Sus scrofa: one gene and its partners. The protein of the gene in region 2 purifies or fractionates together with the protein of the main gene of each other region. This does not show direct contact. Links are inferred from orthologs where the notes say so. Each region holds a gene or a part of one and is shown on either strand. Other genes may lie near its edges. The genes, in order: BNIP1, USE1, SCFD1, STX18 and RINT1.

Evidence for each region.
Region 1: the proteins of USE1 (region 2) and BNIP1 purify together in Homo sapiens (co-immunoprecipitation; 4 studies listed by BioGRID and IntAct, counting the BioPlex papers as one, with this or other methods). This does not show direct contact. The link is inferred for Sus scrofa from reciprocal best matches to the Homo sapiens genes USE1 and BNIP1.
Region 3: the proteins of USE1 (region 2) and SCFD1 purify together in Homo sapiens (affinity purification with mass spectrometry; 3 studies listed by BioGRID and IntAct, counting the BioPlex papers as one, with this or other methods). This does not show direct contact. The link is inferred for Sus scrofa from reciprocal best matches to the Homo sapiens genes USE1 and SCFD1.
Region 4: the proteins of USE1 (region 2) and STX18 purify together in Homo sapiens (co-immunoprecipitation; 4 studies listed by BioGRID and IntAct, counting the BioPlex papers as one, with this or other methods). This does not show direct contact. The link is inferred for Sus scrofa from reciprocal best matches to the Homo sapiens genes USE1 and STX18.
Region 5: the proteins of USE1 (region 2) and RINT1 purify together in Homo sapiens (co-immunoprecipitation; 3 studies listed by BioGRID and IntAct, counting the BioPlex papers as one, with this or other methods). This does not show direct contact. The link is inferred for Sus scrofa from reciprocal best matches to the Homo sapiens genes USE1 and RINT1.

The regions. Positions count from the first base shown.
Region 1 is NC_010458.4:51,136,894-51,142,938, forward strand, and holds the start of BNIP1 (vesicle transport protein SEC20), read right to left. Parts: upstream 3,497-6,045; 5' UTR 3,222-3,496; coding exon 3,138-3,221; intron 2,795-3,137; exon of another isoform or gene 1,553-2,794; intron 696-1,552; coding exon 603-695; intron 1-602. UniProt on the Homo sapiens protein: As part of a SNARE complex may be involved in endoplasmic reticulum membranes fusion and be required for the maintenance of endoplasmic reticulum organization. Also plays a role in apoptosis.
Region 2 is NC_010444.4:60,450,762-60,456,702, reverse strand, and holds the start of USE1 (vesicle transport protein USE1), read left to right. Parts: upstream 1-2,632; 5' UTR 2,633-2,655; coding exon 2,656-2,796; intron 2,797-3,104; coding exon 3,105-3,154; intron 3,155-3,294; coding exon 3,295-3,373; intron 3,374-3,459; coding exon 3,460-3,612; intron 3,613-4,726; coding exon 4,727-4,739; intron 4,740-5,158; coding exon 5,159-5,186; intron 5,187-5,660; coding exon 5,661-5,835; intron 5,836-5,941.
Region 3 is NC_010449.5:68,847,051-68,853,134, reverse strand, and holds the start of SCFD1 (sec1 family domain-containing protein 1), read left to right. Parts: upstream 1-2,079; 5' UTR 2,080-2,159; coding exon 2,160-2,217; intron 2,218-6,084. UniProt on the Homo sapiens protein: Plays a role in SNARE-pin assembly and Golgi-to-ER retrograde transport via its interaction with COG4. Involved in vesicular transport between the endoplasmic reticulum and the Golgi.
Region 4 is NC_010450.4:5,995,179-6,000,510, forward strand, and holds the end of STX18 (syntaxin-18), read left to right. Parts: intron 1-1,076; coding exon 1,077-1,146; intron 1,147-3,230; coding exon 3,231-3,311; intron 3,312-3,743; coding exon 3,744-3,839; 3' UTR 3,840-4,634; downstream 4,635-5,332. UniProt on the Homo sapiens protein: Syntaxin that may be involved in targeting and fusion of Golgi-derived retrograde transport vesicles with the ER.
Region 5 is NC_010451.4:105,394,870-105,400,201, forward strand, and holds part of RINT1 (RAD50-interacting protein 1), read left to right. Parts: intron 1-3,606; coding exon 3,607-3,791; intron 3,792-5,332. UniProt on the Homo sapiens protein: Involved in regulation of membrane traffic between the Golgi and the endoplasmic reticulum (ER); the function is proposed to depend on its association in the NRZ complex which is believed to play a role in SNARE assembly at the ER.

The DNA of each region.
Region 1 (6,045 bases), on a different chromosome or scaffold from region 2:
AGTGACCTCCTTTGACAAAAACTGCATACTGGCAAAACTGCCCTTGAAAATCCCTTAGAAAGCAACACAGGACATGGACATTCTGTTTCTCAGGGTCCAAACTGCCAGTTTTTCAAGTATCTTTGGAACAGACTGTCTTCTTCTGTTAAGCAACAAGGGCTGGCATTTGGGACCAGGTCAGATAAAAAGCACAAGTCTCTAAATCCAGCATCACATGGATGGAGACCAGGTGCCCCAAGACCCGCCCAGGGATGGACAGACCCATGCTACCAGCTTACCCTCACTCAGGGCACAGCACAGAAACACCTACTTTCCTTGCTCTAATGATTTTGGAAACAGCACATATACCCTAGTTGAATTCAAGACTGTTACATAAGCATATGATGCGACTAGAGACACAGAAACAGAGAGGAAGAGGCCAAAGTGACAGTATGAAAAAAAAAACCATTACCAGATAATTGTAATGAATTGAGGTGGATGGGTTAGAGAGAGGGGTAGAGAAAAGAAAGTTAATTCAAGTGATCTCTGAGTCTTCAAGTTGAAAAATTCCAAGGACAATGAATGCTGCCCAGTCTCAGCATCCCTGCTCTGCGGACACTTACCTGTATTCTGTGCCGCAACTGTTGAAATTTTTCTTTCACTTTAGTATTCAGTTCCGTAAGTGCACTTAAGGGTCCTGAACAATCTCGAATATCCTAGGAAAAAGTGAAGAGATGAGGGAGCCTTTCTCAAGGCAATGAAATGAAACGACACCAGCTGTACCGTGAGAGAGTTGGCTTAGGTCACAACTAAGTTTGGCCTACTAACTGAAATTCATCCTGATCTTTGATGTTTACCTCTACAACACAAGCAAAAACAATGTAATTTACATTTTTCTCATCCCGCTTTAGATAACTTCTCAGCAAGTAACATAAAAGCACAGATAGAAACACAACTCTATCTTGACCTATTAGTTCCTGAAGTTTACCAAAACTCCATTCAGCCATTATGAAAGACTTAAAGCAACTTGTGACAGGAATGGACATCTAAAAGACAGACTGTAGCTTTACTTTAATGGTGGGGGGCACTCCTATGGCATATGGAGGTTCCCAGGCTAGGGGTCCAATGGGAGCTACAGCTGCCAGCCTACGCCCACAGTCACAGCAACAGAGGATCTGAGCAGCGTCTGTGACCTACAGCACAGCTCACAGCAACGCCAGATCCTTAACCCACTGAGTGAGGCCAGGGATTGAACTCACAACCTCATGGTTCCTAGTCGGATTCATTTCCACTGCGCTACAATGGGAACTCTGACGTATTATAACATTAGACTGTAATGTTACATGGTTCCAACTTAAAAGTCAGGATGCGGAGTTCCCGTCGTGGCGCAGTGGTTAACGAATCCGACTAGGAACCATGAGGTTACGGGTTTGGTCCCTGCCCTTGCTCAGTGAGTTAACGATCCGGCGTTGCCGTGAGCTGTGGTGTAGGATGCAGACGCGGCTCGGATCCCATGTTGCTGTGGCTCTGGCATAGGCCGGTGGCTACAGCTCCGATTGGACCTCTAGCCTGGGAACCTCCATATGCCGCGGGAGCGGCCCAAAGAAATAGCAAAAAGACCAAAAAAAAAGTCAGGATGCTAATATTTGGCATTATATGACAAGATTAACTTCTTGATCTAATTTTATAAACCCTCTATTGTAAGTCACTGTTTATAAACATGCTCAAAGATAGATTTAGAATTTGCTTCTGGACATTCAGAATTTCCAGGGCCAGGTTTTAAAGCAGGCCCTAGGATATATTATGTACATTCAAATTCTGGTTGTAGCAATTATAAGCTGTTTTATTTTACCTTGAAAAAGTTACTGAGTCCTATGTGCCTTAGTTTCCTCATCCCAACATTACCTACTTCATAGATCAGGTATGTAGTAAAGGGTTTAGCAGAGGAGTTGGAACACAGTAAGAATGCGCTAACTCTAGCTATGATCAACTGTTCTCATCACAAGAACAAAGAGAGCTAGAGAGTGCCCAAAAGGGCTTAAGCAATATAGATTATGTGAAAAGACAGTTTCGTTTGTTTTATGACTCCTCAACTTATTTTTCTAAAATTGGCCCAGAGGTTTGTAGTTTATACATCGGAAACATGAAGTTCAAGAGTTTAACTGTTTGCATCAAGTTGCCTCACTTGTTCTATGGATTATGCATTAAATCACACTTCTTTGCTCCATATAATAAACTATTAATTTGGTTTATTTTGCATTTGGCTTCTGTGGGGAGCCTTATTTTCCTCCACCTTTTACCACAGTTGGCTGCAAATTCTCAGTCTACATCCAACGTTTAGTAACGTTTGTTGTAAATGGAAACGATCTGCCTCAAATGAAGATTTTAAACTCTTGGTTTCCTTTTGCTAAACTCAAGTAACCATTTCTACATTCCTAACTCTTGCCTATGCCAAGGGGTTTATTGTTATCTTCTACCCTCAAACGGCCTAAAACAAAGGACCTCAATTACCCCATCTGTTAAACGAAGTAGACTCAAGTCTTTTTTCTATACTGACTTTCCCTGTCCGACCCCAGTTTTGCCATTATCTGCCCTCTGACCCAGGCCTTGGCCCTTGACTCGATTTCCTAATTTACAAATCACAACGTCCAGGTTACGTTCACTTCATCCAGTGCCTCCCGCGCCAAGGGGCCTTTGGTGACCCGGGACATCAGACCCACGGAACTGGCCACAGGGGCCGGGGTTAACGGCCCCCAGGACTCTACCAAAGGATGGAAAGGGCGGTGTCAGAAGGCAGGGCCAAGCAGGATGACAGGTAAATTGGAGACTGGGGCAGGGCGAGGAAACGGCCGGAGTGGGGCAGGGGCCACAAAAAGGTAGCCAGGCCTGAGGCGGAGGCTGGGGAAGGGAGAGGGAGAGGAGAGGCCTTGGAGAGGGCGAGCCAACGGGAGCCGGAAGAAGGATCAAGGAGAAGAGTCCAGGGGATGAAGGGAACGGGACCAAAAGGGGAGCAGCTAGGAAAAGGGGGCGGGGCCAGCGACCTCGGAGACTTGACCAGATGGGGAAAGCTCAGCAGTGAGACCGCCGAGCTGAAAGAAAACCAAAACCACTTGGGTTTCGGGCCGCTGGTCCCCATTGGGGGTCCTGGGAATTAGTACCTGAATAAGCGCCTTCACTTCCAGGTCGAATTTAACAATCTCTTGGTTACAGATCCGTACGTGGACATCCTGGGGAGCCGCCATGTTGGGGAATGCTGACTACGGACAGCCGCGGGGCCCAAGTTCCAACGCGTTTTCTCCCGGCCTCCCTTCCTTCCCGGCCGGGCCTTGGGGCAGCGCCCCCTAAAGACCGGCCTGCGGCGAGCGAGGGCGGCGGCGCAGTGGTGGGGACTTTCCCTGACACGTGGGCGCGCACTCAGTCGGCCTGTTGGTGTGGATCTAGTTAAGAGAGAGAGAGAGAGAGAGAGAGAGCGAGAGCGAGAGCGAGAGCCGAGGGTATTATCGAGAACGCTTTAACGGTGATCCCTCCGCATACTCCGCCCATCAGCCACTCTAAAGAATGCGGGGTTTTTTGCATGGGGGCGGGGGGTGGGGGGAACCGCTGGAAGAAAAGTATCAACTGGGATATCTCTGAAAGGTATAATTAACAATTGTTTACACTTTTTTAAACTTTCTTGTATTTTCATATTTTCTACAGTGAATATAAATTGTGGAATGAAAGAAAAAAATGACAAACGTTGTTACACTTTTTTAAATATACGAAATTCAAGGCAAGTCCCTAGGGAATCTTCTGTTAGTCCAGCTTGAGTGCTAGGGATCTTTGCGTCTAAAATGCGCAACTGGTAAGTCACATTCCAGTTTATACCCCTTCTCTGCTCCTGGCGGTTCCCTTTTGTGTACAATTAGATTTATTAAATAATTTACCTGGCTGGAGTAGTTTTGATGGAAATAACAACCTGGCTGTTGTCTCTCTCTCAACAGACAGAGAGTCTTTCACTTTATTTTTCTTATAAAATAGTCCAAGTTTCTTAACTTGGCCCTCAAGACCATCAGCTACCCCACCCAGCGCCCCCGCCCCCCTTGCATTCTTCAAGCTCTTTTTGGGTCCGTAGTTGTGGGGTTTTTGTTTTGTTTTTTGGGTGGTTTCTCTTTGGCTGTGCCTGGGACATGTGGAAGTTCCTGGGCCAGGGATTGAACCTTTGCCGGAGCAGCAACCCCAGCCATTGCAGTGACAGTGCTGGATGCTTAACACCCTGAGCAAATGGGAAGTCTGGATCTGTAGTTGTGGAATGTGCTTTTCTCCTTCTTAGAATGCTTTTCCCCACTTGCCCTCACCCCATTCACCTTTGTTCTGCAATCATAGACTGGGAAAAACTGAGTGTCAGCTGTTGCCCTTTAGCCTCACAACCACCCTTGAAATAGGTAATAACCCAGTTTCACAGTTCGGGAGTTGGACTAAGGCCAGATCAAAACAAAACAAAAAACGAGTTCCCGTCGTGGCTCAGTGGTTAACGAATCCGACTAGGAACCATGAGGTTTTGAATTTGATCTCTGGCTTTGCTCTGTGGGTTAAGGATCTGGCATTGCAGTGGGCTGTTGTGTAGGTCGCAGACGAGGCTCAGATCTGGTGTTGCTGTGGCTCTGGTGTAGGCTGCGGTCTGGGAACCGATGAGGGGTCCAGTTAGACCTCTACCCTGGGAACCTCCACATGCCGTGGGTACGGCCCTAGAAAAGACAAAAAAGACAAAAACAGAACAAAACATCCTTGCCCCAAGGTTGCCCAAATTAAAAGTGGCAGAGCCTTAAGTGAAAGCCCTATCTTCCTTCCCTCAAAAACCAAATATGGCCCCTTGAATAGTGTCGAATAAGGGGGGAGCTGCGTGCTCCCACATCTGTATTCCTCCAGTGTTCCACACCCCCTCCCTCCAGGCCTTCATTATTCCACTGCATCTAATAGAGAGGCCACGTGAGGGTTAAGGCAGGCTTCCCCTCTCGGTACTTCAGCCTCCTCAGAGGCTAGCTGGTGGAGATCACAGCTACATGAAGTCATACATAAAAAGCACCAAGCACAATGTAGTAATGTGGCACATGCTAAGAATGCAAAGCACATTGGCCGCTATTATTATATTACTGACATTTGTGGCACTCTTCCCTTGTGCCAGGAACTTTATATGAAGTGCTTTATGTGTATCATTCTTTCACAACAGCCCTGAGGTAGAATTATCCACTTCCTACAGATAAAGAAACAGGCACAGAGAGAATAATGACTTGCCCAGCGCAATGGAATGGCTAGGTCGAAGGTTACATGCATTTCAAAATTCTAATACATACAACTGCATTGCTTTTCTTAGAGGTTATATCAATTTACACTCCCACCAGCGATGTGGTATGAACGCCCGCTTTCTCATGGCCTCACCCACATGGTGTGATAACAAACACTGGGATTTTTGCCAATTGGATCAAGTGAAAAATGCCACCTTTTAATTTGCATTTCTCTTATCATGAATAAGGTTGAGAACTATTTGTATTTACTGTTTTTCTATTAGGTTGTTGGTCTTTTGCCTATCCATTCCCAGGAGCTCTTTATTCATTAGGAGGATTTGTTCCTACAGATAAGCTTTGCCTCTTTTTTTTTTTTTTTTTTTTGTCTTTTTGCTATTTCTTTGGGCTGCTCCCACGGCACATGGAGGTTCCCAGGCTAGGGGTCTAATCGGAGCTGTAGCCGCCGGCCTACGCCAGAGCCACAGCACCGCAGGATCCGAGCCACGTCTGCAACCTACACCACAGCTCACGGCAACGCCGGATCCTTAACCCACTGAGCAAGGGCAGGGACCGAACCCGCAACCTCATGGTTCCTAGTCGGATTCGTTAACCACTGCGCCACGACAGGAACTCCGCTTTGCCTCTTAAGCTACAGAATTTTGACTTCGTTTAAGTATTTTGGGTTTTTTTTTGTTTGTTTTTTGTCTTTTTGCCTTTTCTAGGGCTGCTCCTGTGGCACATGGAGTTCCCAGGCTAGGGGGCCAATCGGAGCTGTAGCCACAGCAATGCGGGATCTGAGCCACGT
Region 2 (5,941 bases):
GGATGACCGGCCTCCTGGGGCCAAGCGGAGGTACTCGGACCCCCCAACCTACTGCCTACCCCCTGCCTCGGGCCAGGCCAATGGCTGAGGGCCCACAGCTGCCAGAGTCTGGACATCCAAGGACGGCCTGGTGCCGCGGCCCAAGCGCTGGAGCTCCAGAGCCTGCATTCAGCGGTCTGAGAAGGATCCGGAATGAAAAGCTCCAAGAGCGACGTGAGGTGGGCACTGGCTCCAAGTGAGTCCAGGCAGGGAGAGGCCGGCTGAGACCCGGCCACCCTTGCTGAGCCCCCACGTCGCACAGAGGTGCCCGCCCAGAGCACCAAATCACGGTGGGCAGCCTGGCGTCTCCCAACTTCCCTTTTATATGTTTTTGAGGTCACTGTTTTCTTTGTGCGTGGTTTACATAACTTTAAACTGTAACAGCCTTAACAGAGGACCAAATCGGTTTTTTATATGTGTATGTACAAACTTTTGTATTAACGCCCTGCATCTCCCTTATAACCTGGACATGAGTCTTCAGAGCAAAGCCCACACAGCCGCCAAGCTTTGGAGGCTCAGACCCAATGCTGAAGCACAGCTCGGGGCAGACCAAGGGCTGGGACCCTGCCTAAGGGATTTGGACACTTGAGGCACACGACTGCCCCAAGTCTATCTCAGATTCGTACGCCAGCCTGGCTGACATGCATTCGAGGGAGCAGTGGAACCTTCCATGGTGATCGATTGTTGGCTGGAGCCAGGCAGTAGGCGGCCTCCACTCCAGGCACCACAGACCTCACATCCCAGGGAGTCTCGAATGTGGCCATCGCTCCTCTGTTCACTGTGCCTTGGACCCAGGAGGCTGGAGTAGGCCGCCCTTGGCACTGCCCGCCCCCTGTGGCAGAACAAGAGCCCGCAACTCAGGACTGATCATGGGTGGGGAGGGCAAGGCCTAGGGTTGTACGTCCCTGCAAGTCTACGGCGACAGCCTGGGCAGCTGGCATCTCTGGAGCGAGGCTCTCTTCTTAGGCTCAGCTCACTCTCCAGATACCTGGACACATGGCCACAGGTCTGGGACAAGAGGCATCTGCAAGCCATGTGAAATAAAAAAAAAGTGCCTGAGAGGTGTCTGCATGTAGTTCCTACTTAGGCCAGCTCCAGGTTGGAAAAGCAGAGGTCAGTAGATGGGAGTCAGCTCTATGGCCTGTCAAGAGTGGTGCAGGGCAGGGGATTGGGCGCCTCACCTGAAAGGACCTGCCTTGTTCCTCCATCCAACTTTGCTACTGAAATTTCACACATACTCTTCACACAAGGGAGGTGGACTTTGCTGGAGGTGCTTTTTATTGATCCAGGAAGCTGGGGAAGCAGGCAACTCCTGGCAGAGCCGCATTCTCACTGAATGTGAGGTGAGCTTGCTGTCCTGGGAGCTGCTTCTTGTCACATCTAGCCTCTCCCCAGGTGGGGCTTACATGTCAGCTGAAAGGGCCATCTGCCCTGGGTTGAAAAGGAGGCGGGGTCAGTCCCTGGGAACCCACTAGAACCAGAAGCAACACCTTCACCACACCACCACCCCCAGCAGAGGAGGTCCCAGTTTGCAACCAGATGGGTAGTTGTGGGAACCAGCTGGCAGGTGGGGCCAGTGGGGTAGGGGAGTTGGAGACCATGACAAACCTGAGTTGAGATGACACATGCCAAAGGGTTAGAGGGCTTGTTCAAGGCCACAAAGCTGGGAAAGGGTAGGGCTGGGATTCAGACCCTGCCCTGTCTGCCTCCTTTTACCAATACCCTGATTTTGGTCTCCTCCACGGTACTTTACAGGATACCAGGCCCACAGGTGATGACCTGAGGGATGGGGAGGTGGTTGAGAGCTGCGTGCTGGGCTTCAGTCCCTGTGAAGCCCCCATCCTCACCCAGTCCACTCCAGGAGGGGGACTCAAACAAGGAGCTTTGGCTTCCTGGGAACTCAGACGGGGTTCCAACCATGGGGATCTGGGCACTAGGGGTGACCTGACCCCACCTCTCACAACCAGGACTAGCTCATGTCGTTGCCACACTGCCTGTTTCCCAAGGGAGGTCTAGAAAAAGTTAAGAAACTCACTAGGCCATGGTGGGAGGTGGAGTCAGAGTCAAGGCTGGGTGAAATCATAGCCGCAAAAGTTCGGATCGGTTCCCAAGTCTTGGATGCTAAAACCCCAGCTCAGGGCCTCTGCCCTGGGAGAGTCCAGGGAGCGCTGCCTGTGTGGAAGAGGCCAGTGAAAGAACCCAGAAAGGAGTGGGGAGCGGGGGATTTTGAGCAGGAGAGAAGTAATGAGCACTTCACGGGTTGCATATGGGCCTGACAGGAAGGACTATCCTTTCGACCCTTCTAGAAGGGTCAAGATGCTCACCAGAGGTAGTTGCCTTGTGGTGCAGTGAGTTAAGGATCCTGCGTTCATTGCAGCGGCCGCGCTGGCTGCTGTGGCGCAGGTTCGATCCCTGGCTCAGGAGCTTCCACATGCCAGCGGGCATGGCACACAAGGATAAGCAAGCAATTCAGCACTGAGTAAATATAAAGGGGATGGCGTCTCAGTTGAAACAAAACATCACTTCGGCCTCCCCAAACAAGAATGGGACACCAAACGAGCAGGGCACTTCCGCCCGGAAGGAGACTAACGGAAGGAACTTCCGCCACCTATTAAGATGGCGCCGGCGGAAGGGGCGGAGTGCCGCTGGGTGGCGATGGCAGCGTCAAGGCTGGAGCTGAACCTGGTGCGGCTCTTGTGCCGCTGCGAGGCGATGGCAGCAGAGAAACGGGACCCGGACGAGTGGCGTTTAGAAAAGGTGAGGGAAGCCCATCTTCCGCTTAGAGCCCGAATCCGGAGGGTGATTCCCGCAGGTAGAGGCCACCGGACCGACTCCCAGGCCCCGCCTGCCAATCTGGCCACACCCCTTCCGGTTGTCTCCGCCACGTCCACCTGCATCTCCTCCGGCTCCTCCCTGGGGCTCAGCTTCCCCTCCTTGACACTTGGCTCCTCCCGTTTTCCAACCCCGCCCCCATCTTGGTCCCGCCCCTTGTTGGGTCTGACCCCTTTGAGTAGACCCTGCAGGGGTGAGGGAGACTGGGCTGACACCCCCCTTTTTGTCCCCAGTACGTGGGAGCCCTTGAAGACATGCTGCAGGCCCTGAAAGCGCAGGCGAGGTGAGTGCAGGTGGCCACAGGTGGTTCAAATACTGGGCGAGAACTAGAGTCCAGGATTCCTGGTCTCCAGTCCCTGATAAGACCCTTCCCTGAACTGGGGACAGTGGACATATTTTCTTTTTCCTCTTCTCGCCTTCCAGCAAACCGGCGTCCGAGGTGATCAATGAATATTCTCGCAAAGTAGATTTTCTGAAGGGGATGCTGCAGGCAGAGAAGCTGGTGAGCAGGGGCACCTCAGCCTCCTCAACCTTCCTCATGCTCACCTGGGACCTGCCCCCTGGTAACCCCTCTTCCCTCTTCTGCAGACCTCCTCCTCAGAGAAGGCACTAGCCAACCAGTTCCTGGCCCCTGGCCGAGTGCCAACTACGGCCAGGGAACGGGTACCAGCCACAAAGACAGTGCACCTACAGTCACGGGCACGGTACACCAGTGAGATGCGGAGTGAGCTGCTAGGCACGGTAGGGCTCCCTGTCTGGTCCCTGGGAAGCTTCAGTTGGGGACAGGAGTTTAGTGCCTGGTGGTAATCAGAACAACAAATACTATCAGGTGTAGGGATCCTAGGGAGCCCAACAGCCTCTGCCCTGGACCATCAGACAAGACTTCCAAACAGAGAGGCATTGTGGCCAGGGCTTTGCTAGATGAGTAAGCATTTGTTACAAGGCAAAAAATGGCACATCTCTGGAGTTGTCAGGTGGTGCAGCAAGTTAAGGATCCGGTGTTGTCACTGCTGAGGGGCAGGTTCAATCCCTAGCCCCAGAACGTTCACACGCTGCAGGTGCAGCCAAAAATAAATGGCACATCTCCAGTTAAGCCCCAGAGTTAACCCAGAGCAAAGTTTAGCTCCTGCCTACCCACAGGGAAATGAGTTTTTTTCCATCTGTAAAACAGGATGACAAGGAGTTCCCGCTGTGACGGAGTGAGTTAAGGATCTGACTTCATTGACTGAAGTCACTTTGGATGCGCCAGTTCGATCCCTAGCCCAGCCCAGTGGGTTAAAGGATCTGGCCTTTACTGCTCTGGAGCTCAGATTCAATCCCTGACCCAAGAATTTCCACATGTCACAGGTGTGGCCATTAAAATAAATAAGTAAAATTTATTTTTTTTAATTATTATTTTCTTTTTAGGGCCGCACCTGCGGCATATGGTTCCCAGACTAGGGGTCCAGTCAGAGCTATAGCTGCCGGCCTGCGCCATAGCCACAGCAATGCCAAATCCAAGCCACATCTGCAACCTGCACCACAGCTCACAGCAACGATGTATCCTTACTCCACTGAGCAAGGCCAGGGATCAAACCCTCAACCTCATGGTTCCTAGTCATATTCGTTTCCACTGTGCCATGACGGGAACTCCATAAATAAATAAAATTTAAAAAGAGGATGGCAAATGTCTCTATAAACACTTTATGCGGATCAACTAACCCTTCAAATATTAGCCGTTGTTACCAGGTGATATATGAGGAAACTGAGGATGAGATGTCACAGGACTGAGAGTGGGGAGTTTCTCAAAGCAGAAAGGACAGGTCTTGGGACATGAGAAGGTGGGTGACTTGGTGCCTCTCCTTTTTTCCCACAGGACTCTACTGAAGGTGAGTCAATGTGAGCAGAACAGGACTCAAGGCCTGGGACAGACATGTATCCTTGCTGCCCCACATCCCTCATGCCTAACCTGGCTTCCACAGCCCAGGGAGAGTGTCCCAGGAACATTAGCAATTTACTCCTGGAGGGGGTGGCAGGACAGAGGAGGGGCCCCCAGAGGAGACAGAGTTGGACACTCCCAGCCCAAGGGTCCAGAACTGGCTAGAGGGAAGGGCCTGGGGCCTGGGGGAGCCCAAAGGATGAAAATTTCCTGGAAGGGAGCGCTTTGAAGCCTGATAGGGGCCACCTGGGTAGCAGACAAGATGAAAAATGTCACTAGGAGCAGCAGACATCCCAAGCAATGGTCAGGTAGTTGGAAAACAGCAAACCAATTTTCTCCTTCTTCCTGCTTGGCCTCTTTTGTTTCCAGAGCCTGAACTGAATGTGAGAAAGAGAACGTGAGTATCTTCAGCCCCTTGAGCAGCACTGGGGGCAGGGGATCTGGACAGTCCTTGGGCCACTGAGGCGCTGCCACAAGTGTCTAAACCAGCAGTCAGGAGTTCCCACTGTGGCACAATAGTATTGTTGGTGTCTCTTCAGCATCAGGGATGAGGGTTCAATCCCTGGCCTGGTGCAGTGGGTTAAGGATCTGGGATTGCCACAGCTGCAGTGTAGGTGGCAGCTCTGGCTCAGATTCAATCCCTGGCCCAGGAACTTTCATATGCCACAGATGTGCCCCGCCCCCAAATTAATTAATCAATTAATTTAACCATCAATCAAAAGCCACCTCTGAGGATGCTCTTCCCAGAAACCAAAGCAAAAAGGGGAAGCAGGGCAGTGGCATAGAACCTCTAGATTCTTTGAGAACATGTCTGTCTCTTCATACCCCCTCCCCATCTCATACCCACCTGTCCCCCCATCTGTATGGTCAGTGGGGCAGCAGGGCCCAGGCCAGAGGATGAGAAGCAGTCAGCAGCAGAGCTAGACCTTGTCCTGCAGCGACACCAGGACCTCCAGGAAAAGTTGGCAGAGGAGATGCTAGGCCTGGCCCGGAGCCTCAAGACCAACACACTGGCTGCCCAGAGTGTCATCAAGAAGGATAACCAGGTATGAGGACTATGGCAACTCTAAAACCTCTACCTTGGGCATCAGAGAAGGCTTTCCAGCAGAGGGGCACTATGGTTGGGGCTTGGCTAGCTGAGTAGGAGTTTGG
Region 3 (6,084 bases), on a different chromosome or scaffold from region 2:
CTCTTGAATGAACTGAGGTTTTTTTGTGTTAAAACTGTCTATCCCCAATGTAAAATAATAGTTTGCCAAAATAAAAAAAATTTTTGAGCCAAAAATCTGGATAAGTTGAGTCAGTTAAAAGGTTAAGTTGGGTTAACTGACACTCTTTAACAGCTGTAGTTTCTTTCCTTATGTGTAATAATACATAATAAATACCTTAGTCTTAGCCTCACAGGAGCTATGTTTACTGCCACTGTTCTGTGGGACATATTTTTTTATACATTTGTTTGCCCACACTGTGCACTCTTTGGTCAAGACAGTTTTTATCATTTCAAATGTATATGCTGTATATAAACATTAAATATGTCTTATTTCATATCAGTATGACTCAAATTTTGGGAGGTCTATACTGGAGCTGAAATGGTTACATTATAGATTTGCACTTGAAAGTGGAAGCACCAAAATGAACAAGATTAGGCTCTCAGATGTTGAAGGTGGGAAAGCCTGTTTATTATATATTCCATGAAAACAAAAAATGAAGTAAAACTTTCACATAGCACAGGAACTCTCATTTCTGTTTAATTATAGCACACCTAGTTCATTGGTGATTCCTTCAAAATATTACTGATAACACTGAATAAAGCAGTAAATATTCCAGTTAATTTCTTATTGAATATGCCAATTAGCTGTAAAAATGATAGTGATTTTTCTGCTGTTTCCATGAGTTTTAACTTTAATATTTTAAATTCCACATGTATGAAACAGTAAAAAGCTTTCAGCTATAAGATGAATAAGGTGTGAGCATCTAATATATAACATGGTGACTATAGTTGATAACTGTTTTGTTTGCTTTTTAGGGCCGCACCTGCAGCATATGGAAGTTCCCAGGCTAGAGGTCAAATCAGAGCTGCAGCTCTTTGGCCACACAACACCGGATCCCAGCCATGTCTGTGACCTACACCACAGTTCACAGCAATGCCAGAACCTTAACTTACTGTGCAAGGCTAGGGATTGAACTCATTTAATCATGGCTATTAGTTGGCTTCATAACCAGCTGAGCCACAATGGGAACTCCTAGATATAACTATATTGTATACATGAAATTTGCTAAGAGGAGAAATCAGTATTTTTCACACACAAAGAAAAATATGTGAGTTGATAGATGTGATAGTTAACTAGATGGAGGGACATTATTTCATAATGTATGTGTATATATATCAAATTGTCACTGTACATTTCAAGGATCTTTCCACTTTTGTCAATTACACTCTCAATAAAGCTGAAAAAAATATGGAAGGAAAAAAAAATAGATTCAGTTCTAGGGTGTTCCCTGATGACATTAAGGTTATCAGTCTTAAGTTTCATAAAAACTTATTTGTGGAGTAGTGTTTTATTATAGATTTTGCTGTTTATGTAATTGTTAAACATAGTCTCAAAAATTTGAAAATTTAAGTTTTCAAACCAGTTTTTAAGGTACAGGGTCTGTAATTTCAGAATTTGGTGCAGCTTCAGAACAAACAATAGCTAATGCACAGAGTTGTGTGTCCATTTTTGACATCCAATAAAAAATCTATGGATTAGAAGTCATCAATATCGGATATATTTTGTTATCACATGGCTTTAAGCGTACATTAAGAAGACACCTGCACGTGAGGTTGAGAAATCTGCCAAATGAGAGCAATACACCAAAGCTGACCGTTTCCCTGGAAAGGGGAGCAAAAGGGAAACAAGCTGCGCTGGTAAAAAGAAAAGGGAGCTGGCATTTAAGTGCCGATTTTGTTCCAGGAGCTTCATTTACTTTAGTCCTGTGACCCTTAAGCCCCAGGAGTATTATCACACTTAAGAGATATGCAAACGACCAAACTAACAGTCAATATGTTCTTGGCACTACAACACGTTTCTACCCTAAGAGCTCAATTTAAGGCAGCTACTCTTTAAGAACCTGCGGCTTGATAGGATAAAAATTCCCACTGTTCCGCCTCCGAAAAGTAAACTGCCTAGGTGTCCAAAAATGATTCCCTCATTCTTTGTTCGGCAAGTTTTGTTGCTGAGGGTACGGAAGGGTCACCGTAGGGGAGGCGGGGCTCGGCCTTCTATGATCCCGCCCCTCCGGGCTTTGCTTCCGGGGCGGTCGGGGCGGCCACGTCATCCACAGGCTCCGCTTGCCAGCCGGGCAGTGAATGGTGGGAGTCAAGATGGCGGCGGCCGCGGCAGCAAGTATTCGCGAGAGACAAACAGGTACCGACTTATTCTCTTCTCTTCCCTGAGGTTTCATGCTTGCAGTGAGGACAAGCTTCCTATGCTTGTCGCCCTCACTCGGTCGCGGTGCGTGCAGCTCAGAGGTGGACCTTCAAAAGTTTAATCCTGTTCTCCGAGCATCGAGAGCCCCTCCCCTCTTGAGTTTTTAGGGAAGAGATTCCATTAGCTTGAAAACTCGGCCCTCGGAAGTGGTGCCAGAGAAGTGGCTTCTCGGGTGAGCAGGTTGCTACGGTCCTGTCCTGCACTTGTCGCTTTCCTACTGGACCTCAGAAGGCCTTTACGACAAGATTTAGCAGCTGGCATTTCCCCTCCCTGTGTTGCTGCCTATGAGGTCTTTCGGATTTGTTTCTGTGCATGGTTCAGTTTTCTCCCATTTCAATATTTAGAGTTGCATCTTCCGGCACTTCCACCACAATAACAAAATTTAAGTGTTCTTTTCAGAGCAGATTACATTCTGCCATTTCTCTCCTTTGGACCAATCTTTGGGGGTACCAGATGAGAAATGCTCAGTGTTAAAAGATTTCTGTCTTCAGCATGCTGGAATGAGGTATAAGAATGGCAAAATAAATGAATTAACCTTTCCCATTTTAATTATTTGGCAAATTAGTGTTCTTAAACTATGCGTTATTAGTTTCATGTTTAATAGAACGTAATTATATAGCTCCTGTGTATATTGTGAAATACGGTTTTAAAAAATACACATTCCTTCTCTTTGAGCTTTGGTATTTTTTCCATCTTAGATAATTTTAGTTTTGCCATATTTTTTGGAAACTTGTGATGACAACTTGGTTTATACCTGTTAGCTACAAACTAATGGATTATACCTGTTAGCTAATTGTCTCGAAAATTGGCAAACTGTTAATTCTGAGGAGCTAGTAGAAATAAGCCATCAAGAATATGCATATTTGGAAATTCTGTCTCTTGTAATTATGTTCTTTTGCATATAAATCTGTGTAGGAAAACAACTGATTACAATTAATATGGTCTATAGAAAGGATTTTGGCTATGCTTGATTCCTTCCTTTGGAATTCAAAGAAAAAATTAATGGTAGACCTTAATGTAGTAATGATACACAGTGCATAATGAGTTATGTTCTGCTTTCCACCAATGGATAATTTAGTGTAAACTATCAGATGAAGTCAGGCATAACTTAAATACATGAAAGTCCAAATAAAATTTGAGGAATACCTGCCATTCATTTTATTTGTATAAACAAATAGAAACCCCACTTGTCTTTGCAGTATGGTTCCAACATCTTACTGAACCTCAGTGAATTAGGTCATACTGCATATTAAAATAAAAAACATGTTAAGAAAGACTTTATGCCAATATAAAGGAGCTTTTTGAAAAATTAAATTTGTTAGTAATTTTTATATGCAGAAACTTTGTAGAATATTAAAATCTAATAGCACATAATTTGGATTTCTGCAGTAATAAATTTAATTGTAGCAATATTTCACATCATTACTACATAGGTTATTCCAGATTTATCAAATTAGTACTACAGTTGAGTTCTGTCTTATTTTGGGAGAAAGGCAGACATCTTTATATGTGCTGTAGTGGCAGAAGTAAACATTTGCCTGATGCCCATTGAGAATGTTTTGGAAAATAGATCACAGTTGATTCTTAAATATTCTAGATATAAGACTCTGGTACAAAGGAGTTTGCAGTCTATTTGGGTAGATAATAGCTGATATTTATTGAACATTTAGTATTGTCAGAGACTGTTTTAAGTGATTTTTACATGTATTTTTATCTCCATTTTCCAGGTAATTAAGTTATAGAAAGTTTAACTAGCCAGTTTTTTGCTTTGCCTGCCTGAAGAGTCTTTATTCATCTTTTAAAGTCACTTCAAAAATCATGTCTTTTGTTACAGTTTCCTGAAACACTCTAGTCTTATCCTTTAGTTCAACAGGCAGAATCCTATGTTACCGTTGTCATTCATGCATGCCTCTCTGTTGCAGGTTCTTGCTCAACTCTCCCATTTCTTAGAGGAGAACCCCAAATCAACTGCTTTCTCTCTTACAGTGATCTCATGTAGCTTCTTGGCTTTCAGTACTTTCTATATGCTATGATCCCCACGTTTATATTTCTAGCCTGGACCTCTCCTCAGACTCAGTCTACCCCATATCAAGTAATGACAACTCCATTCTTGTGGTTGTTCAGGTCAAAAACCTTGACACTTTCTTGACTTCTGTCATTTATATCTCACATCAGATCTGTCAGTAAATCTTGCCAGCTTTGCTCTGAAAATTCGCCTAGAATCTGACCTTTATCACACAGGTCCAAGCCACCATGAGTTTCTGCAGTAATCTCCTATTTGGTCTCCTTGCTTTTAAAACTCTGTTTCCCTTCATTTTTCTTCACATAGTATCCCAAGTGATCATGTTACATATTTGCTCAAAACTCTCTAGCACTTTAAGTCATTTATTAGTTTCCCTGTTTCAATCATGGTAAAAGCCAAAGCAATCTGACAGTGGTCTACAAGGCTCTGTATGATCTGCTCTCCACTTAACTTTCTGATTCAATCCCTTTTACTCTCCCCTTTCCTTGAACACACCAGAGTGCTCCACTTCAGAGCCTTTTTGTGTTCTTTCTGGAATACTCTTTCAGAGATATCTGCATGGCTCACTCCGTCACCTCCTGTAGGTCATTATTCAAATGTTACCTTCTCAGGAGGCCTCTCCTGACTACTTAAGTTAAAATTCACAACTCCCTCTTCCTCCTTCCTCCCCTGTTTTCCTTCATAGCACTTATCATGATCTCACGTATCATATGTTTTACTATTTTGTTGTCTTTCTCCCCCAGCTAGAATGACAGTTACTTGAAGATAGGTCACTTTTATTCAGTCCATTTTGTTTAGTACCAACAGCTAGAGCTATGTCTGGCAGGTGGCAAACACTCACTAAACATTTGCTGAGTGATAGTACGTGTAGTTGAATATATAGTGAGCAAAGAAAAAACATTCCAGGTGAGGGTGAAAGTACATTAGCCAAGTCTAGGTGTGTATGGTATATTTAATCATTTCAGTTAAAAGCAATAATTTAAGCCTTTAGAGAGTTACTCTAATGTAAAATAATGTAAAATTACATTCTTAAAGATTCTTTTTTTCTCTTTTTAAGGCTGCACCTGTGGCATATGGCAGTTCCCAGGCCAGGAGCTGAATTGGAGCTGCAGCTGTGACCTACTCCACAGCCAGGGCAACACTGGATCCAAGCCACATCTATGACCTATGCTGCATGCAGCTTGTGGCAACACCGGATCTTTAACCCACTGAGTGAGGCCAGGAATTGAACCCACATCCTCACAGACACAACATCAGTCTTTAACCCCTGAGCCACAACAGGAACCCCTCATTCTTACATATTGGCCATGTACTCTGTTAACAAATCCACTGTGTCAGAATCCCTATTAGCAAGTTACCCAAGGCTCAGAATTGAGGAAATTCATTAAGATGGATCTGAGAAGGTAGCTCTGGGAATATCTGCTGATACTGGCTTCTTTGAGTTAACAAAGACCTACCTCTGGAGAACACCATTCACCTGGGGCTCATAAGCAACCCAGGCTGTGATTCTTCCTAGTTGTCCTATGTCAAAAGGGTGAACAGCTGTTTCTAAAAACAAGATTTTTCTCTCTTGGGCCATGAGTGCCAGCCAGGTGGTAGTGTCTGTATTGCCTGATGGTGGGAGGAAGAGCTTTGCTGAAGCCCAGTAGAAGAATTAATTCTAGAGCACCCTGTATTCTTCCTGCATTATTTCAGTTTTAAGTGCCAAAGAGTTTTTTTTATTTATGTATTTTTTGTGTAATATAATACCTGGGTGCTTCTTTGGTAGGTCTAAATTATTG
Region 4 (5,332 bases), on a different chromosome or scaffold from region 2:
ACAGAGAGAAGCCCCGCAGTGGCTCCTCTGGGGTCTGGCTGCTCCCTCCCCAAAGGGTCAGCCCCACAGAAGGCCAGTGGCCACAGCCCAGACAAGTAGGTCGCCAGCCTCCGGTGAACGCACTCGGGGCCTATCGCCTGGCAGTGCCAGGGGGCATTCTCAAGGCAAGGCCGGCCTTCACAGGTGCTGAAACTCCATGGGGAGCCCACCCCCGCAAAAGATGGCGCGCCCTGGCGTTGTACCCGCACAGCCCCGGGGACTTAGAGAGCAGGCGTCTCCCTCTGACAGCTGCCCAGCTCTCTGCGGCCTCTGCCCTCCCCGCCCTGTCCCACCTCACGCCTCTTGCCAGTTCTCCTCTCCTTCCGTCACCGGGTCTGGGGGACTCGGAGGCCTTAGGGACACAGCTGGGAGCCGTCTCTGCTCCCTGCACTAGACACGCACCACCCCAGCGCCCCTGAAACAGGCAGCAGCCTGGCCCCGGATGGGACATTTTCAGCCGAATCAGAGGAGGTTTTTCCCAACAGGGAGTTGGTTCGAGGGCTGAATGTCCTTCTTCCCCTGACCTGCTGAGCAGCAGCAAAGCCCAGTGGTCACCCTATTCTGACTGTGGAATCCGCACTGTGTGTCACTGTGGTGGCCGGGACAGGGCTCAGCAGTAGAGGAGACTTTGTCACCGGGCACAGCCTCAGGCACCGACTCTGGAGGCAGGGGCCCTGGGTCAGCGCGTGCGCGGGGAGGGGCGGGCTTCCAGACAGTCCAGTGCCTCCGCCAAGCTGAGTGACATTAACGGGGAGCCAGTGTGCAGCGGGAACCTCCCTCTGCCTGTGTCCTTCCCGGAGCCTGACTGTCCCTCCCCCCCTCCCTCGTGGATGACGAGGTCCCCTCCCCCCTTCATGGATGACATGCTCCCTCCCCCCTCGTGGATGACGTGGTCCCCTCCCTCTTAGCTGACATGGCGGGAGTCCCCTCTTCATGCCTTAGAAACTGCCACTTAGACACTTTCTTCAGAAATGTGTGACATTGCTGTTAAGATCACCAAGTCCTAATAGGTAACGTGTAATCTGTTTTTTATGAAGGCAAATCGAAGGCAAAGTGGTTGAAATTTCCAGACTCCAGGAGATATTCACAGAGAAGGTTTTACAACAGGTAAGAAAAAAAAAAAAGTTGTTTTCGGTTTCAGCTTCAAGGGGGGAATAGACTAAGAACTTGGGACATTTCTCCTGGATTGTGGAGTCCCTGAAGCTGTGTGCCCGCAGCCTCACCTTCCCCGGGCAGCCTCCGCAAGCTGGGAAGGGCTGGGGAGCTGCTAGATTGGTCCCGGATGTGCTCAGGACACTGGGGAGCCTCTCTGAGCCCCAGCCTTTTCGTCTATAAAGTGGAGTGACCCTTGCACAGTTGTCATAGGTTCAGAGATGGCCCCTGGGGAACGCCCAGCACAGTGCCGGATGGGGGTGGCTTTCCAGTCGGCGGTGTTCCAGGCTCAGGTTCGGCCCTCTCGGCATGGCCTGTGCGCACAGGAGGCGCGACTGATCTCGTGAGAGCGTCTCCCTGTCGTTTCTACCTGCCTGCAGCTCTGAAGTTCTGCCTGCCCCTCACTGGCAAGACTTTTAGACACCTGGCAAAGTCTCCCTTTTGTTTTTGGCATCCGCAGACTGGAAGGGTTTGAAAGACAAAATCCCTTTCCTCCACCGAGTTCAGGTGGGCTCCTTGGCTGACGATGCCCCACTCACGAAATCTCCCCGAGCCACCAGCCAGGTCCCTGCGCACTGCGTACACGGGATGGTTCAGGCTCACAGGACCTGCCCCTTGGACTAGCTCGTTGCAGGAACCATTCCAGCGTGTATATGCTAAGCCTCTGCTCAGGAGCCGACACAGGAACGGCTTGGATGCCTTCTCCTCGGAGCCCCCTGCTGTCGGCAGAGGCAGTTCACGCGGCGGGAAGAGCTCAGAGCCCAGATGGAGGCAGACAGGCAGCCCCAGCCGCGTGACCTGCGGCTCCCCTGAGCCCCATGCCCTCTGCACATCGGGGGCCAAGGTCCCCTGGTCGCTCTCTGGGGGTGGTCCATAGGAAGTGCCCCGCCTACCACAGGCTCTGTTTGGGTCGGTTTGTTTCTAGGTGTGGCAGTGGCAGCCGGGGTGCTGCACTGCCCTCCTAGCACAGCGGGGAGCCTCAGCGTGGCAGTGCTTTGTGCAGGAAAATGCCCCAAGGCCTCAGGGCCCTAAAGGCAGTGAAAACTCACGGTCCTGCACTAGCCCACCCGCAGGGGAGCACTGACCACTGTTCACATCTGATTCTTGGTTAGCGGGCTGGTTCTACATTGAGTTCTAGAGAGTTCCAGACTGTGCTGGAGTGGGTGGAGCTGGGAGCACAGCTCCACCCTGTGACACCCAGGGCCCGGGGCAGGACCTGGAGGGACCTACAGGGCGCTAGCTGAGCCTTCCCCGCCCCAGGAGTCTCTGAGTCCTGAGAGCAGTTGCACGTCCACGTTGCAGACGGGTCCCTACCCGCCGCGCATGTGGTCAGCTGGCTCCCACTTGGAGACACTCCAAGAAAGCGTGACTGCAGAGAGCAGAGCCGTCCCTGGCCCTTCATCCTTAGCCTGTGTCACACTCACTGCTGGGAATCAGGCGGCTAGAGGTGGCTCTCCTCTGCGGCCTGTACCCGTCGGGTGTCCCTAAAGCCCAGGCTCAGGGCGGTCCCACTCTCAGACCTGGCGGGTCCCCGCCTGTGCGGGGATCAGCCACACGTGCCTGTGCGAGACCAGAATCTCAGACTCAGCTTTCCAGGTGGTTGGAGTTGAAGGTTTTTTGCAGACAGCCTGCATCCCATTTGGACTTAAGTTTTTGCTTTTTTTTTGAGATAAAATGGTGAAACACAAAGCACCACTCTGAAGCTGGCACGCGCTTAGAAGGCCCTGGCGTGTGGTGGCTGCTCTGTGACCGCAGCGTTTGCTTGTTCCTTACCGCTGGGGAGTGGGCGGGAAGGGGGGAAGCGGAGGGAGCCCCGCACCGCCCCCATCGCAGCCCCACCACCTGGGTGCTGCGTGCCTTGGGCAGAGCGTCCGTCTCCCTTTGGTGAACGGGAGTCTCCTATCTCTCGGGGTGCTGTGGGAGCCTGGATTCACGCGTGTGGAGCCCTGGCCCCCAGGAAGCGGCGGCTTCTGTTCTTGTTGAGACACACTCAGGGCAGGGGCGGCGGGTGTGTTTATCTGCCACCCTTTCCTCCGCAGGAAGCCGAGATTGACAGCATCCACCAGCTGGTAGTGGGAGCCACCGAGAACATCAAGGAGGGCAACGAAGACATCAGGGAGGTGGGTGCTCCGTCCCGTCCCCACCGTCCTGCGGAGGGGCCCTCGGGGGCGCAGGGTCGCCCACAGCAAGGGGGAGGCCAGCTCCCTACATCCAGGCTGGAGAGGCCTGTTGGACCCGCATCCGCGGTCCTCCGAGCAGGTTGATGCGGGGCCATACTGGGGCCACCCCTGCCATCGCACGGCTGGGAAGCTCCAGCCGAGGAGCGGACTCGTGCTCTGAGCCTGCCTGTGTGGTTTCAACCCTGGGGTGGCATCGAGCCATCGCTCCTGGGGGATTGGTGGGAGATCTCCACATGAAGACCGGCCAGCAAGGGAAAGCCAGCCCCCTCGTCCTCCGACAGATTTTACACCCACTCTCTGGTAGGGCCGCGCGGGGGCGCGCAACACACGCGGCGGCCAGGCCCCGTGTAAGAGTCCCTCCCCCCCCCCCAGGCCATCAAGAACAACGCCGGCTTCCGCGTGTGGGTGCTCTTCTTCCTGGTGATGTGCTCCTTCTCCCTGCTCTTCCTCGACTGGTACGACAGCTAGGCCGCCACTCCCGCCAGACGGGAGCCCCAGCATCGCAGCCACGCGGACTCTCTAGGGACACCTGGACCTGTGGGCTTGAGCCCATTAGTAGCTGAAAAAGAATCTACGCAATTGAACGCGGTCTGCGTGGTGGTCCTGCGGCCGGACGGGAGGGGGGAGGGCGGCCATTCCTACACCTGCGGGGCGCGGGGACGGCAGGCCTCTCCCCCGGCACCGCCGCCTTGGGCTCCACCCTCCCGGAGGCCGCAGGGAGACTGCTGGCCCGCAGCCCTGCTCGGCGGAGGACGTTTGTTTGCTGCGGCTTCTTGTCTGCCCGGGCAGCTGATACGCAGCCTTGCTGTGCTGGAGCCGACAGCCCACCCTTGCCTTGTTAGCCCAGGAGATGCAGTTAGAGCACCGCCTGTACCGCTGGTAAGTCCAAGTGCAGAAAGTCCCTGCACCCCACCTGCCTCCGGTCGGGAAAGATATGGGGGATGGGGCCGGGGGACGCGGCTCCCCCGAGAACTGCCTCCCCCCACCACCGTCCTGACCAGAGGGCAGGGCCTGACTTCGTGCCACTGGGGCCCATGGAGCTCTTGGCCGGAGAAGGACCTGGGCCTGAGGCACCGGCGGCCACGCGTGTGCAGAAAACAGCTGGTGTTGGGGACCCCACAGCCGGGGAGCGGGGGCTCTACACAGACGGTCCCAGGGCGCCGCAGCGATCCTTGTGTTCTTTGTTAAGAGAGTGAAAGTGTCAGAAGTTACATGGGGATGAGTTTACAGCCGGTGAAATACACATCTACTGGAAAGTACAAACAGTTGCCTTGGTGCTGGATTTCCATGGGCTGGAAACTGGGATAGATGCTCTCTCTGCAGAGTCACTGCTCTTCGTACATCCCCACAGCTTCCCAGCATCCTTCACAGCTGAGACTCTAGGGTGCACCCACGGCCCCGAGGCCAAGGTCCTTGTTTCCAGACACCCCTGATGTCACCTGCACAGTATGTTTTGGAAGCAGGAAGGGAGTTGGCCGCGACCACCATGCTTACTCACAACAGATCTCGCACTGTTTGTCATTTATTTTTTGATCTAAAAAAACAGTGAAACTTGACATGTCCCCCAGAAACACCACATTCAAATGACATGGAAGAGAATGCCCGTCAATGTCTTTTCTCTATTTAATTGTCTCACACACGTCGTTTATCTAACTGGCGATGTTGTAAACATACACTTTAATGTCAAGAGTCAGGCTGAGACATAGCTGTCTTACGAAGAGGGTGAATGAAAATCTCCTAACTGGACTTGCAGGTGCCACACCAGCCCCCATCCTGGCCTCTCCTGCCTGTGTTTCAAATCAGTTACATCTGTCCCACAAAAGACAAGTTAAAGTAGTCCTGGCTTACCAGCAGTTACACGAAAGTATTCATAACAGACACGACTAAAAGGGCCGGTGGGTTTCATTCCTACTCAGCACACCACAGAGCAGACAGACTACTACAGGGAGGCGGGGTCTGCT
Region 5 (5,332 bases), on a different chromosome or scaffold from region 2:
TTTTTTTTTTTTGTCTTTTTGCTATTTCTTTGGGCCGCTCCCTCGGCATATGGAGGTTCCCAGGCTAGGGGTCTAATCAGAGCTGCAGCCACCGGCCTACGCCAGAGCCACAGCAACTCGGGATCCGAGCCGCGTGTGCAACCTACACCACAGCTCACGGCAACGCCGGATCGTTAACCCACTGAGCAAGGCCAGGGACCGAACCCGCAACCTCATGGTTCCTAGTCGGATTCGTTAACCACTGCGCCACGATGGGAACTCCCAACACTTTATTTTTCTACCTTTGCCCCACTCATATGTTTGGGAAGTTGATGCCATTAAGCTGTGGACTTTGTCCTTGACCTTCCTTTGGTGGCTTGGTCAACTTCTTTGCAATTAGAAGTGCTCCTTACAAAAAACAGGAAAAGAGACATCACCCCTACGCCATCAGCAGTGTGTCATTTTGAAGAATGTCATTTGACTAAGACTGTACTATGCTACATTTAAATGGTTAAATCAAAAGAATATAATTTTTACTTTTTTATTTTTTAAAGTATAGTGCCACTTTCTGTCTTACAGGAAAATGACCCAGTTATACATTCCTATACAGTAGGACCTTATTTCTTTTCCATTCTAAGTGTAACAGTTTGCATCTACTAACCCAAAACTCCCAGTCTATCCCACTCCCTCCCTCTCCTCCTTGGCAAGCACAAGTCTGTTCTCTATGGTCTGTGAGTCTGTTTCTGTTCTGTGTATAGGTTCATTTGTGCCATTTTTTGGGGGGGGGGCTGTTGAAAAAGAGCTGCACCTGCAGCATATGAAAATTCCCAGGTTAGGGGTCAAATTGGAGCTGTAGCCGCCAGCCTATGCCACAGCTACAGCAACGCCAGATCCTTAATCCCCTGAGTTAGGCCAGGGATTGAACCCGAAACCTCATGATTACTAGTCGGATTTGTTTCCATTGCGCCACAGTGGGAACTCCCTTACCATTCTTCTTAAGGAGGTTCCACATCACCTGTTTTTGTCACATTTAGTAAGTCCAGTGTGAATTGGCCCAACTCTAGTTTCTTTGCTGTGGAACCTTTCCCTTTCTCCCTTCCTTCCTTCCTTCATTTCTTTTGTTTTTTGGGACCTCCCCATGGCATATGGGAGTTCGAAGGCTAGGGGTCAAGTTGAAGCTGTACCTGCTTGCCTACACCATAGCCACAGCAACAGCAACGTGGGATCCAAGCCGCGTCTGCAACCTACACCAAAGCTCAAGGCAATGCCGGATCCTTAGCCCACTGAGCAAGGCCAGAGATCAAACCTGCATCCTCATGGACTAGTTGGATTCGTTACCACTGGGCTACAGTGGGAACTCTAAAAATATTTATCTGTCTTTTGTCTATTTAGGGCCACACCCATGGCATATGGAGGTTCCCACGCTAGGGGTCCAATTGGAGTTGTAGCTGCTGGCCTACACCAGAGCCACAGCAACATGGGATCCGAGCCTCATCTGCAACCTAACCACAGCTCACAGCAATGCCAGATCCTTGACCCACTGAGAGAGGCCAGGGATTGACCCTGCAACCTCATGGTTCCTAATTGGATTCGTTAATCACTGAGCCACAACGGGAACTCCAAGAATCTCACTTTAGATTGTACAATTTATTGTTTGCAGTAGCCATTGAGTTTTTGCCTAGTAATTTGTGTTTTCTGTCATATTTTCTTTTTTTTCCTGTTTCTGAAATGGATGTCTTTGTACAGTCAACTTTTAAAACTCTTTTATATAAGGAGTTTGGTCACCCTTTCATATTTTTTCCATACACTTGAAATCTTTCAATACCATTTTTTTTTTCTTTTTAAAAAACATTTTAAAACTAGAGTTCTTTTTTGGTGTTGTAGAATACCTAATTCCTTAAAAATTTTAAAAATATATTACTAATTTAATAAAAGCTGCATCAGTAGAACTAGATTTGACCTTTGTCCCCCAATAATAAAATAATAAGATTTTTAAGATCTACAGTTGTCTGGAAAAATTTTTTTTTAATTTTTTTTTTTATTATTTCCCCAATACATTTTTTTTTTCCTACTGTACAGCATGGTGACCTAGTTATACATACATGTATACATTCTTTTTTCTCCCATTATCATGCTCCATCATAAGTGACTGGACATAGTTCTCAGTGCTACATAGCAGGATCTCACTACTAATCTATTCCAAAAGCAATAGTTTGCATCTATTAACCCCAAGCTCCCAATCCATCCCATTCCCTCCCCCTCCCCCTCCCCCTGGCAATGACAAGTCTAGTCTGCCAGTCCATGATTTTCTTTTCTGTGGGATGGTTCATTTCTGCTGTGTATTAGATTCCAGATATAAGTGATATTGTATGGCGTTTGTCTTTCTGACTTAGTATACTGAGTCTCTAGTTCCATCCATGTTGCTGCAAATGGCATTATTTTGTTCTTTTTTACGGCTGAGTAGTATTTCATTGTGTATATATATACCATGTCTTCCTAATCTAATCGTCTGTTGATGGCCATTTGGGTTGTTTCCATGTCTTGGCTATTGTGAATAGTGCTGCAACGAACATGCGGGTTGGAAAAATTTAATATCTGTTTGTAACTGCATTGTTGTACCAACATTTATTGAAACCTGTGGTTACTAGGACAGAGTTAGGTTTTTTTTGTTGTTGTTGTTGTTTTTTTTTTTTGTCTTTTTGCCATTTCTAGGGCTGCACGCTCAGCATATGGAGGTTCCCAGGCTAGGGTTCTAATTGGAGCTGTAGTCGCCAGCCTACACCAGAGCCACAGCCACCCGGGATCCGAGCTGCGTCTGCAACCTACACCATAGCTCATGGCAACGCTGGATCCTAAACCCACTGAGCAAGGCCAGGGATCAAACCTGCAACCTCATGGTTCCTAGTCGGATTCGTTAACCACTGCGCCACCATGGGAACTCCAAGAGTTAGGTAATTTTTCTTTCACTCTGAATCTCCTAGCTCTTAAGCATTTTGTAGTAGTTCTTGAGTGATAGATTGCTTTAAGTCTATTCATTTAGGTATTTGGGTATGTGTATGCCAGTCATCCCTTGGTATCTTTGGGGCATTGTTCCAGGACTCCAGCAGACGCCAAAATGCCTGGATGCTCAAGTCCTTTATATAAAATGGCACGGTATTTGCATATAACCTGTACACAAACTCTGTATGCTTTAAATCCTCTCTAGGAATTACTTAAAGTACCTAATGCTAATAATAGCAATAGTTGTACAATCAATGTAAATGCTACGTAAACAGTTACTGGAGCATGGCAAATTCATTTTGCTTTTGGAATTTTCTATTACTATTTTTTATCTGTGGTTGGTCGAATCCATGAAATGGCCTGTGGATTTGGAGGGCTGACTGCATATAGAAAGAAAAAGAGGGAGGGTGTGTATATACATATATTCATATACACTTATGCACACTATTGGCTATTTTTGTGTATGTGTATATATACATATAACACAAGTTCTGTATATTTAAACAAAAATGCCATATGTAGTGTTTTCTTCAAATTATTAATTTTGAAAGTATATCTTGTATGTCTTTTGTAGTTCCTTTAACTCCATAATAGTAGTGTTGACTAATTGTTACTCTTTCATTTTAGGTGAAATAAATATTACAGCTCTCACTGGAAATGAACAAGTCTGTGAAGGCACTGATAATGGTGATCTCCCTTCCTATGTGTCAGCATTTATAGAAAAGGAAGTTGGAAATGACCTTAAATCTTTAAAGAAACTTGATAAACTCATAGAACAGATGACAGAAAGTAAAATGCAATTAGAAGAACAGGCAAGTATTAAAACTCATTGAAACGATATCAGTAGTATACTTATTATAACTAATGTAACGTATATATAACCATTATTATCTGGGCAATTTTGAAGATGTAGATTATGACAAATAGTCTAATCATTTAAAACGGCTTAATAGATTTTAAGGGCCTACAATGTGCTAGATGTTTTACAGGTTATGTAAAACACAAAGTTCCTGGGAGTTCCCTTTGTGCCTCAGTGGTTAGCGATCCCGACTAGGATCCATGAGGATGTGGGTTCGATCCCTGGCCTTGATCAGTGGGTTAAGGATCTGGCATTACTGTGAGCTGTGGTGTAGGTCACAGATGCAGCTTGGATCCCTCATTGCTGTGCCTGTGGCATAGGCCAGTGGCTTCAGCTCCAATTGGACCACTAGCCTGGGAACCTCCATATGCTGCAAGTTTGGCCCTAAAAAGCCAAAAAAAACAACCACAAAACCTGTGCCACAGCAGTGACCAGAGCTGCTGCAGTGACAATGCTGAATCCTCAACCTGCTGCACTACAAGGGAACTCCTCATACAACAACTTTTTTTTTAATGGCCACACCTGTAGCATATGGATGTTCCTGGGCTAAGGGTCCAGTTGGAGCCACAAATGAGGCCTACACCATAGCCACAGCAATGCCAGATTCGAGCTGCAACTGCAGCCTATGCTGCAGCTTGTGGCTACACTGGATCCATAACCCACTGAGCAGGGCCAGGGATTGAATCCATATCCTCATAGACACTATGGGAACTCCTACAACGACTTATAAAGTGTTTTTTTTTTTTTTTTTTTTTTTTTTTTTAAGGGCCACACCTATAGCATATGGAAGTTCCCAGGCTAGGGCTCTAATCGGAGCCGTAGCGGCCAGCCTATGCCACAGCCACAGCAACGCGGGATCCCAGCCGCATCTGGGACCCACACCACAGCTCATGGCAACACTGGATCCTTAACCCAATGAGCGAGGCCATGGATTGAAGCCGCATCCTCGTCGATGCTAATAGGGTTCATTAACTGCTGAGCTACAACAGGAGCTCCATAAAGTGTTTTTACAAGTAAATAATTTCATAGTACACAAAAATGTTGTAATGCCATCCTAATTTTTTTTTTGTCTTTTTACCTTTTCTTGAGCTGCTCCCACAGCATATGGAGGTTCCCAGGCTAGGGGTCTAATTGAAGCTGTCGCCACTGGCCGCGACCCACACCACAGCTCACAGCAATGCCGGATCCTTAACCCACTGAGCAAGGCCAGGGATCGAACCCGCAACCTCATGGTTCCTAGTCGGATTTGTTAACCACTCAGCCAGGATGGGAACTCCCATCCTAATTTTTTAATATATGCACACATACATAGGGAGAAAACATTAAATATACCATAATAATGGCTGTTTCTCGGTGGTTGGTTAACAAGTAATTTATTTTCTTTGTCTTTTTCTATTAAGTTTTTTCTTTTTTGATAAACATATTACCTGAAATAATGTTGAAAAAAATCCAATGAATGTAATCTTAAACTGAAAAATGACTGTGTCCCTCTCC